Linked DNA regions of Macaca fascicularis. The protein of the gene in region 1 binds, or shares a complex with, the protein of each later gene. Links are inferred from orthologs where the notes say so. Each region holds a gene or a part of one and is shown on either strand. Other genes may lie near its edges. The genes, in order: LRP5 and FZD8.

Region 1 (3,799 bases):
GACAAGCATACAAATACCCGCTCACACACGTGTGCACACGCACGCACACAGGCTCACACGTATGCACGCACATGTGTGCGTGCGCGCACACATACACACACACACACACACACACAGGCTCACATCCTCCCACTCCCACACTCAGTTGCTCAGACACACACACCTGGCTCACACAAACCTATTGGGCTCTGAAAGGCTCCAGCCCTTCCCGTGCTTGTCAGAAGCCAGTCAATGGCTTCTTAAGTCACCGCACAGAGCAAAGAGGTGAACTTGGCCACCATGGCACTCTGCTTCCCCAGCTCCCAAACCCCAGCCTTGGTGAGGATACTCTCATTCCCACTACCCCGGGCAGGCCCAGAGGAAGGGCATCTGCAGGGTATGGCAACCAGCCCCTCCTGCCCGGCTCCTGCAGCCAGCGCCATGGGAGTCAGGGGGAGGTCACTGCGAAGGGCAACAGCAAGTTGGTGGCCTCAGGACTAGAGCCCAGGGGTCTTCGGTCCTACTCCAGAGTTTGGACACTGTCCCACAGGGCACGGAAAAGGGAAGGGCTCCCAGAGCCCTGACTTCAGGGAGGAGGGCGGGTGGGCTCCTATGGCAGGCCTGGATGCGTGGCTGCCCAGTCCTGAGACTTTCTAATCTAGAAGATCTAGGTCAGGCCGGGTGCAGTGGCTCACACCTGCAATCCCAGCACTTTGGGAGGCCGAGGCTGGTGGATCACTTGAGATTAGGAGTTTGAAACCAGCCTGGCGAAACCCTGTCTCTACTAAAAATACAAAAACTAGCCAGGTGTGGTAGTGCATGCCTGTAATAACAGCTACTCAGGAGGCTGAGGCAGGAGAATCGCTTGAACCTGGGAGGTGGAGGTTGCAGTGAGTCGAGATCGCGCCATTGCGCAAAGAAGATCTAGGCCGGTCCCTCATCCGGTGAGGTCCAGGCTGGGAGTGCTGAGAGACTGGTGACACTGCATGAACTAACAGGCAAAGGGCTTCCAACTGAGCCTGGGAATGGGGGGAAAAGGCTCCTGTGTTCTAGTCAGAGACCTCTGCCAACCAGTTCTCACACGAACTCAGCACAGAACCTGACAGGTCAGCAAGGGCCAGGGCTCAGCACAGCCCAGGTAAGGGTGTGTGTACAGCCCCCAGAGTCACTCCCAGGCTGCAAGAGGAGGGACGAAGGAGGGACAACGGGCGTCCAAGCAAACTGTTCCCTCTGCTCGGGAGTCCGGGGTGACCTGGCCTAGCTGGCCACTGGAGCTGGGCCACCTCCCCTCAAACTCTCCACCCCGGACTTCGACTCCAAGGAGGTTCTTCGCTTTCCTGCCACCCACCGTCTCCCCACCTGGGATCATGGCCAGGCCCTGAGCCTTCAAGGGCCCAGGTGAACTCAGCCAGACAAGCAGCTGAGGAGGACACAGGGCAGCTTCCAAAACAGACCCAGGTTCTGCTTCCAGATGAGGAGCTGCACTTTTTCAGCCAATGCAGTTAGAAAGCCAGGAGAAGGCGCAGATTCCACCTGCCTGAGAGTCTGCACTTCCCAGGCCACCCACCATACACACAGCAAAGATGCGTTTAACCATTCAGACCCACAGCCAACCCCATCAGACATGCAAGTTTTAAAAAGGAACGTAACTATGAACCAGGCATGGTGGCTCACGCCTGTAATCCCAGCACTTTGGGAGGCCAAGGTGGGTGGATCACCTGGGGTGAGGAGTTCGAGACCAGCCTGGCCATCCTGGTGAAACCCCATCTCTACCAAAAATACAAAAATTACCTGGGCATGGTGGTGGGCGCCTGTAATCCCAGCTACTTGGGAGGCTGAGGCAGGAGAATCACTTGAACCCGGGAGGCGGAGGTTGCAGTGAGCCGAGATTATGTCACTGCACACCAGCCTGGGCAACAAGAGCAAGACTCCATCTCAATTAAAAAAAAAAAAAAAAAAAAAGGCCGGGCGCGGTGGCTCACGCCTGCAATCCCAGCACTTTGGGAGGCTGAGGAGGGCAGATCATGAGGTCAGGAGGTCGAGACCATCCTGGCTAACACGGTGAAACCCCGTCTCTACTAAAAATACAAAAAATTAGTCGGGCATGGTGGTGGGCACCTGTAGCCCCAGCTTCTAGGGAGGCTGAGGCAGGAGAATGGCATGAACCTGGGAGACGGAGCTTGCAGTGAGCCGAGATCACACCACTGCACTCCAACAAGGGTGACAGAGCGAGATTCTGTCTCACAAAAAAAAAAAAAGAAACATAACTATGGAATCTCAAGGGGAAGTAATTCTCTCAACCATAACAAATCCTGAAAGCTGAGTTCTTTTTTTTTTTTTGAGACAGGGTCTCCTTTGTCGCCCAGGCTGGAGTGCAGCAGTGGGATCACAGTTCACTGTAGCCTCGATCTCCCAGGCTCAAATGCTCCTCCTACCTCAGCCTCCCAAGGAGTTGGGATTACAGGTGCACACCATCACACCCGATTTTTTTTTTTTTTTTAGAAATGGGGTCTCACCATGTTGCCCAGTCTGGTCTTGAACTCCTGGACTCAAGTGATCTACCCGCCTTGGCCTGCCAGAGTGCTGGGATTACAAGCATGAGCCAAAGCACCCCCCCGAACTCGTTTTAAGATTCACATCTTTTTTCTGAAAAATAACTTGGGCTCACATAAATTCGAGAGAGAAACGGTGATGCTCCCCGCCCCCTGGACCCAGGCAGAGTCGCGGCAGGGTTTACCCGTGAGCGGGATCCAAGGCGATGGCCCTCGGCTGGTCAAGGTCCTGCCAGAAGAGGACCTTCCGGGATGTGCCATTGAGGTTGGCGACCTCGATGCGGTTGGTCTCTGAGTCCGTCCAGTACAGCTTCTTGCCCACCCAGTCGCAGGCAAGGCCATCGGGCGAGACCAGGCCGGAGATGACCACATTCTGCACGGCGGCCCCCGTCTGGTTCAGGTAGGTCTGCTTGATGGCCTCCTCGCTCACATCTGTCCAGTACACGGCTCCCTTGGAGAACTGGAAGTCCACTGCGGCCGCATCCTCCAGGCCACTGACCACAATGGTGGACTCCAGCTTGACTCCGCCAGCGTCCACCAGCCGTACGTCCCGGCGGTTGGCAAATAGCAGGAGTGGCGAGGCTGTGGGGCAGAAGCAAACCGTGAGGGCCACTGGCTAAGCCAGCAGGACACACAGCCCTGGGATGCAGCACTATGCCCAGAGCACTCCTGGCACTGCCCCACTCATGCCCAAGACCTCCAGTTCCTTCCTCCCACCCCCAAGGCGCTCTCAGGAAGTTGCCTGGGCGGCCCCGGCCCACACCATTCAGAGGCTCCTGCAGCACAGCAAACAGCCTTCTTACCGCACTCAGTGACAGCAACTGGTTTTTTTTTTTTTTTTTGAGACGGAGTCTCGCTCTGTCACCCAGGCTGGAGTGCAGTGGCGTGATCTCTGCTCACGGCAAGCTCCGCCTCCCGGGTTCACGCCATTCTCCTGCCTCAGCCTCCTGCATAGCAGGGACTACAGGCACCCGCCACTGCGCCCGGCTAATTTTTTGTATTTTTAGTAGAGACGGGGTTTCACTGTGTTAGCCAGGATGGTCTCAATCTCCTGACCTCGTGATCTGCCCGCCTCGGCCTCCCAAAGTGCTGGGATTACAGGCATGAGCCACCGCGCCCAGCCTAGCAACTGTTTGTTTACCACCTGCTACGTCTGTTCCCCCAGGTACGGGTGACCCTTCCTGCCACACCCACCACCTCCCACGTCGTCCTCCAGAGGCTGCTGGGGCCCTGTCCTGTTCTAGAGAGAAGCCACATCCCCTTTGTTG
Region 2 (4,355 bases), on another chromosome or scaffold:
GAGAGAGAGAGAAACATATTCTACCACCCTCCTGGCTAACTGAAATGCTTGTTCCCGAGATTACAGTAATTACTGCCCCAGCATGAGTTCCATACAAGCGCTAAATGAAACAGCACATCAATTAAAAAATAAACACTCCATTCCAGGAGAAAGACAGCCCCCTGGGACGCCCTAACAAGCGTAAATGAACCTGCCAGGCCGCCGGCCCGGGCCGCCCGCAGCCCCCCTCCCGGTCGGTCTTAAGGTGGCTGCGGAGCCGGCGGGGACCGTGTTCGCTGGCGGTGGCCCAAGCGGCTGCTAAAAGCAGCCCGGGTCCGGCTCCGGCCTTGTGCAGAGCGCAGATACGTGTCCCGGAGTCCGCGCCAGAGCGCAGCGCCGCCTCCCACCAGAGAAAAGGAGGCTCTGGCAAAAGCCTGTGAACTTGGGATGGATGAATAGACGTCCTGAAAGAACCAAGCGAAGGCAGGGAATCCAGCCCCAGAGTTTCCAGTCTGTCCTATTTATAAGTTTCGGGGTTTGTTTTGATTTTTAAAAAGAAATAGAATGTTTTTTCCTAAGAAAGCACGGCGTCCCGGGGCTTTCTATATTTTATCTCACCTAATTATCAAAGCCCCCTTAGAGATCTGTGCTATGATCACCCAACTCTCGAGGTGGGGAAACTGAGGCTCCCCCGGGTCACGCAGCGGAGGCGGGAGAAAAGTCTCAGGCGGGCATTTGTCCCCCGCGCCCCTCGCGCGCCCAAGGCTGGGCTCCGGGGCATCTCACCTGGGCCGTCCTGGGTCCAGCTCCAGTTTAGAATGACTCCACTCCTCCCCCCCCAACCCCCACATCTCCAAGCCTCAGAAACCATCGTTCTGAGAACCCCAAGGAGGACACCCGTTCCCGGGTCTTCTGCAGCGCCAAGCCCCGGCAGACCGCCCCGGCAGACCGCCCCGGCAGGCCTCCCCTGCACTCGCCTGCTGCGGGACCTCCGCGCCGCCCGGAGGACTGCGAGACCCCCGCCGCCCGCAGATCACCCGCATTCGCGGAGGGTGGCAGCAGGGGCCTGGCTGGTTTGAAACGCGGCGAAGAGGCGTGCGCTACACCAAACCCCGTCCCTGTCCCCAAGGGCAGACTCGGGGAAAGGGCACCAAGACCTCAGACGCACTCAGCGCCATGGGGACAGCCGTGGCCAACACTCTGTCTCTGCGGCCAATCCCAAGGTTACCAAAACTCTCCATCCGCAGAGAACGCGCACAGCGGTGCGGACACTCGGGGACTGCCTTAAGGAAGGCTGAGCCCTGGGAGCACGTGGACTCCGCCCCGCCGCCCGGCGATTGGCTCGCGGGGCTGGGGGCGGAGACCGAGTCCGCGCTGTATAAATATTCATGAGCCGGCCGCGCGGCTCGAGCGGGGCTGGAGCCGGGAAGTTGGGCGAAGGGCGCTGCTCCCGCCGAGGAGGAGGAGGCGGCGGCGGCGGCTGGGCGCGGGCCGCGCCACTCAGGTGTCCGCTCCGTCTTCCGGTCTGGATTTGCTCCTGGGTGTCCAGCAGGAAGGAGACTGCGTGCGCCTCGCCCGACTGCGGACGGAGCGCGGCGCTGACTTTTCCTGGTGGCGGGGGTCCGTCTGTCCAGGGGGCTGACGGACGAAGGACGGACGCCGGAGAAAGAGGGCGGCGGCCTGGGCCGAGGCGGGTCCCCAACTCCGGCGGCGGCGGTGGCGCGGCCTTGGGGGCGGGCATGAGCCCCCGGGGGCTAAGCGGTGGCCTCCAGGGCTGACCCGGCGCGGCGAACGGCCGGGCCCAGCCATCTTGACTGCGCACCGCGGCCCGAGAGGAAACTTGCAGCGCCGCCGCCCTCTGTGCCCGGCGGAGTCACCGCCGCCCAGCGCGGCGGGGAGAAGTGGTCGGGCGCGCGGAGAGGAGGCGAGCGAGCGCGGGACGATGAGCCGAAGCCCGGACGCTCTGCGCCGCGAGGGCTGAGCGAGACCTGGGGCGAGCAGAGAGGACCTTCGGACTGTGGCGCGCGCCTGCGACCGCCTTCAAATCCCAGGAGCGGCGGAAAGGAGTGCGGAAGGGCCCTGCCGAGGCTGCGACGCGCCCCTACGAGGGGCTAGATTATCAGCAGACTCCTCTCCCGGGCGAGGCATAAGGGAGATCCCAGATCACCGGCTTTCCCCGTCTCCGGCTCTCTCGTGCCCCCTCCCCCCCGGCACCCTTCTGAGCGCCGCCTGGAGGGCGAGGGCACCGGGCCGAGGCGCACAGCATGGAGTGGGGTTACCTGTTGGAAGTGACCTCGCTGCTGGCCGCCTTAGCGCTGCTGCAGCGCTCTAGCGGCGCGGCGGCCGCCTCGGCCAAGGAGCTGGCGTGCCAAGAGATCACCGTGCCGCTGTGTAAGGGCATCGGCTACAACTACACCTACATGCCCAACCAGTTCAACCACGACACGCAGGACGAGGCGGGCCTGGAGGTGCACCAGTTCTGGCCGCTGGTGGAGATCCAGTGCTCGCCCGACCTCAAGTTCTTCCTGTGCAGCATGTACACGCCCATCTGCCTGGAGGACTACAAGAAGCCGCTGCCGCCCTGCCGCTCGGTGTGCGAGCGCGCCAAGGCCGGCTGCGCGCCGCTCATGCGTCAGTACGGCTTCGCCTGGCCCGACCGCATGCGCTGCGACCGGCTGCCCGAACAGGGCAACCCTGACACGCTGTGCATGGACTACAACCGCACCGACCTCACCACCGCCGCGCCCAGCCCCCCGCGCCGCCTGCCGCCGCCGCCGCCCGGCGAGCAGCCGCCCTCGGGCAGCGGCCACGGCCGCCCGCCGGGGGCCAGGCCCCCGCACCGCGGCGGCGGCAGGGGCGGTGGCGGCGGGGACGCGGCGGCGCCCCCAGCTCGCGGTGGCGGCGGTGGCGGGAAGGCGCGGCCCCCTGGCGGCGGCGCGGCTCCCTGCGAGCCCGGGTGCCAATGCCGCGCGCCCATGGTGAGCGTGTCCAGCGAGCGCCACCCGCTCTACAACCGCGTCAAGACAGGCCAGATCGCCAACTGCGCGCTGCCCTGCCACAACCCCTTCTTCAGCCAGGACGAGCGCGCCTTCACGGTCTTCTGGATCGGCCTGTGGTCGGTGCTCTGCTTCGTGTCCACCTTCGCCACCGTCTCCACCTTCCTCATTGACATGGAGCGCTTCAAGTACCCAGAGCGGCCCATCATCTTTCTCTCGGCCTGCTACCTCTTCGTGTCAGTGGGCTACCTAGTGCGCCTGGTGGCGGGCCACGAGAAGGTGGCGTGCAGCGGCGGCGCGCCGGGCGCGGGGGGCGCGGGGGGCGCGGGCGGCGCGGCGGCGGGCGCGGGCGCGGCGGGCGCGGGCGCGGGCGGCCCGGGCGGGCGCGGCGAGTACGAGGAGCTGGGCGCGGTGGAGCAGCACGTGCGCTATGAGACCACCGGCCCCGCGCTGTGCACCGTGGTCTTCTTGCTAGTCTACTTCTTCGGCATGGCCAGTTCCATCTGGTGGGTGATCTTGTCGCTCACGTGGTTTCTGGCGGCCGGCATGAAGTGGGGCAACGAAGCCATCGCCGGCTACTCGCAGTACTTTCACCTGGCCGCATGGCTCGTGCCCAGCGTTAAGTCCATAGCGGTGCTGGCGCTCAGCTCGGTGGACGGCGACCCAGTGGCGGGCATCTGCTACGTGGGCAACCAGAGCCTGGACAATCTGCGCGGCTTCGTGCTGGCGCCGCTGGTCATCTACCTCTTCATTGGCACCATGTTCCTGCTGGCCGGCTTCGTGTCGCTCTTCCGCATCCGCTCAGTCATCAAGCAGCAGGACGGCCCCACCAAGACGCACAAGCTGGAGAAGCTGATGATCCGCCTGGGCCTGTTCACCGTGCTCTACACCGTGCCCGCGGCAGTGGTGGTCGCCTGCCTTTTCTACGAGCAGCACAACCGCCCGCGCTGGGAGGCCACGCACAACTGCCCGTGCCTGCGGGACCTACAGCCTGACCAGGCGCGCAGGCCCGACTACGCCGTCTTCATGCTCAAGTACTTCATGTGCCTAGTGGTGGGCATCACCTCGGGCGTGTGGGTCTGGTCCGGCAAGACGCTGGAGTCCTGGCGCTCCCTGTGCACCCGCTGCTGCTGGGCCAGTAAGGGCGCCGCAGTGGGCGGGGGCGCGGGCGCCACGGCCGCTGGGGGCGGCGGCGGGCCGGGGGGCGGTGGCGGCGGGGGGCCCGGCGGCGGGGGACCAGGCGGTGGCGCGGGCTCTCTCTACAGCGACGTCAGCACCGGCCTGACGTGGCGGTCGGGCACGGCCAGCTCCGTGTCTTATCCAAAGCAGATGCCATTGTCCCAGGTCTGAGCGGAGGGGAGGCGGCGCCCAGGAGGGGTG

The links.
Region 2: LRP5 (region 1) and FZD8 share a complex: the UniProt entries of both Homo sapiens proteins name them as parts of the wnt-signaling complex. The link is inferred for Macaca fascicularis from reciprocal best matches to the Homo sapiens genes LRP5 and FZD8.

What each region holds. Positions count from the first base shown.
Region 1 is NC_088388.1:6,281,049-6,284,847, forward strand, and holds part of LRP5 (low-density lipoprotein receptor-related protein 5), read right to left. Parts: intron 3,114-3,799; coding exon 2,717-3,113; intron 1-2,716. UniProt on the Homo sapiens protein: Acts as a coreceptor with members of the frizzled family of seven-transmembrane spanning receptors to transduce signal by Wnt proteins.
Region 2 is NC_088383.1:36,412,350-36,416,704, reverse strand, and holds the start of FZD8 (frizzled-8), read left to right. Parts: upstream 1-1,387; 5' UTR 1,388-2,243; coding exon 2,244-4,325; 3' UTR 4,326-4,355. UniProt on the Homo sapiens protein: Receptor for Wnt proteins. Component of the Wnt-Fzd-LRP5-LRP6 complex that triggers beta-catenin signaling through inducing aggregation of receptor-ligand complexes into ribosome-sized signalosomes.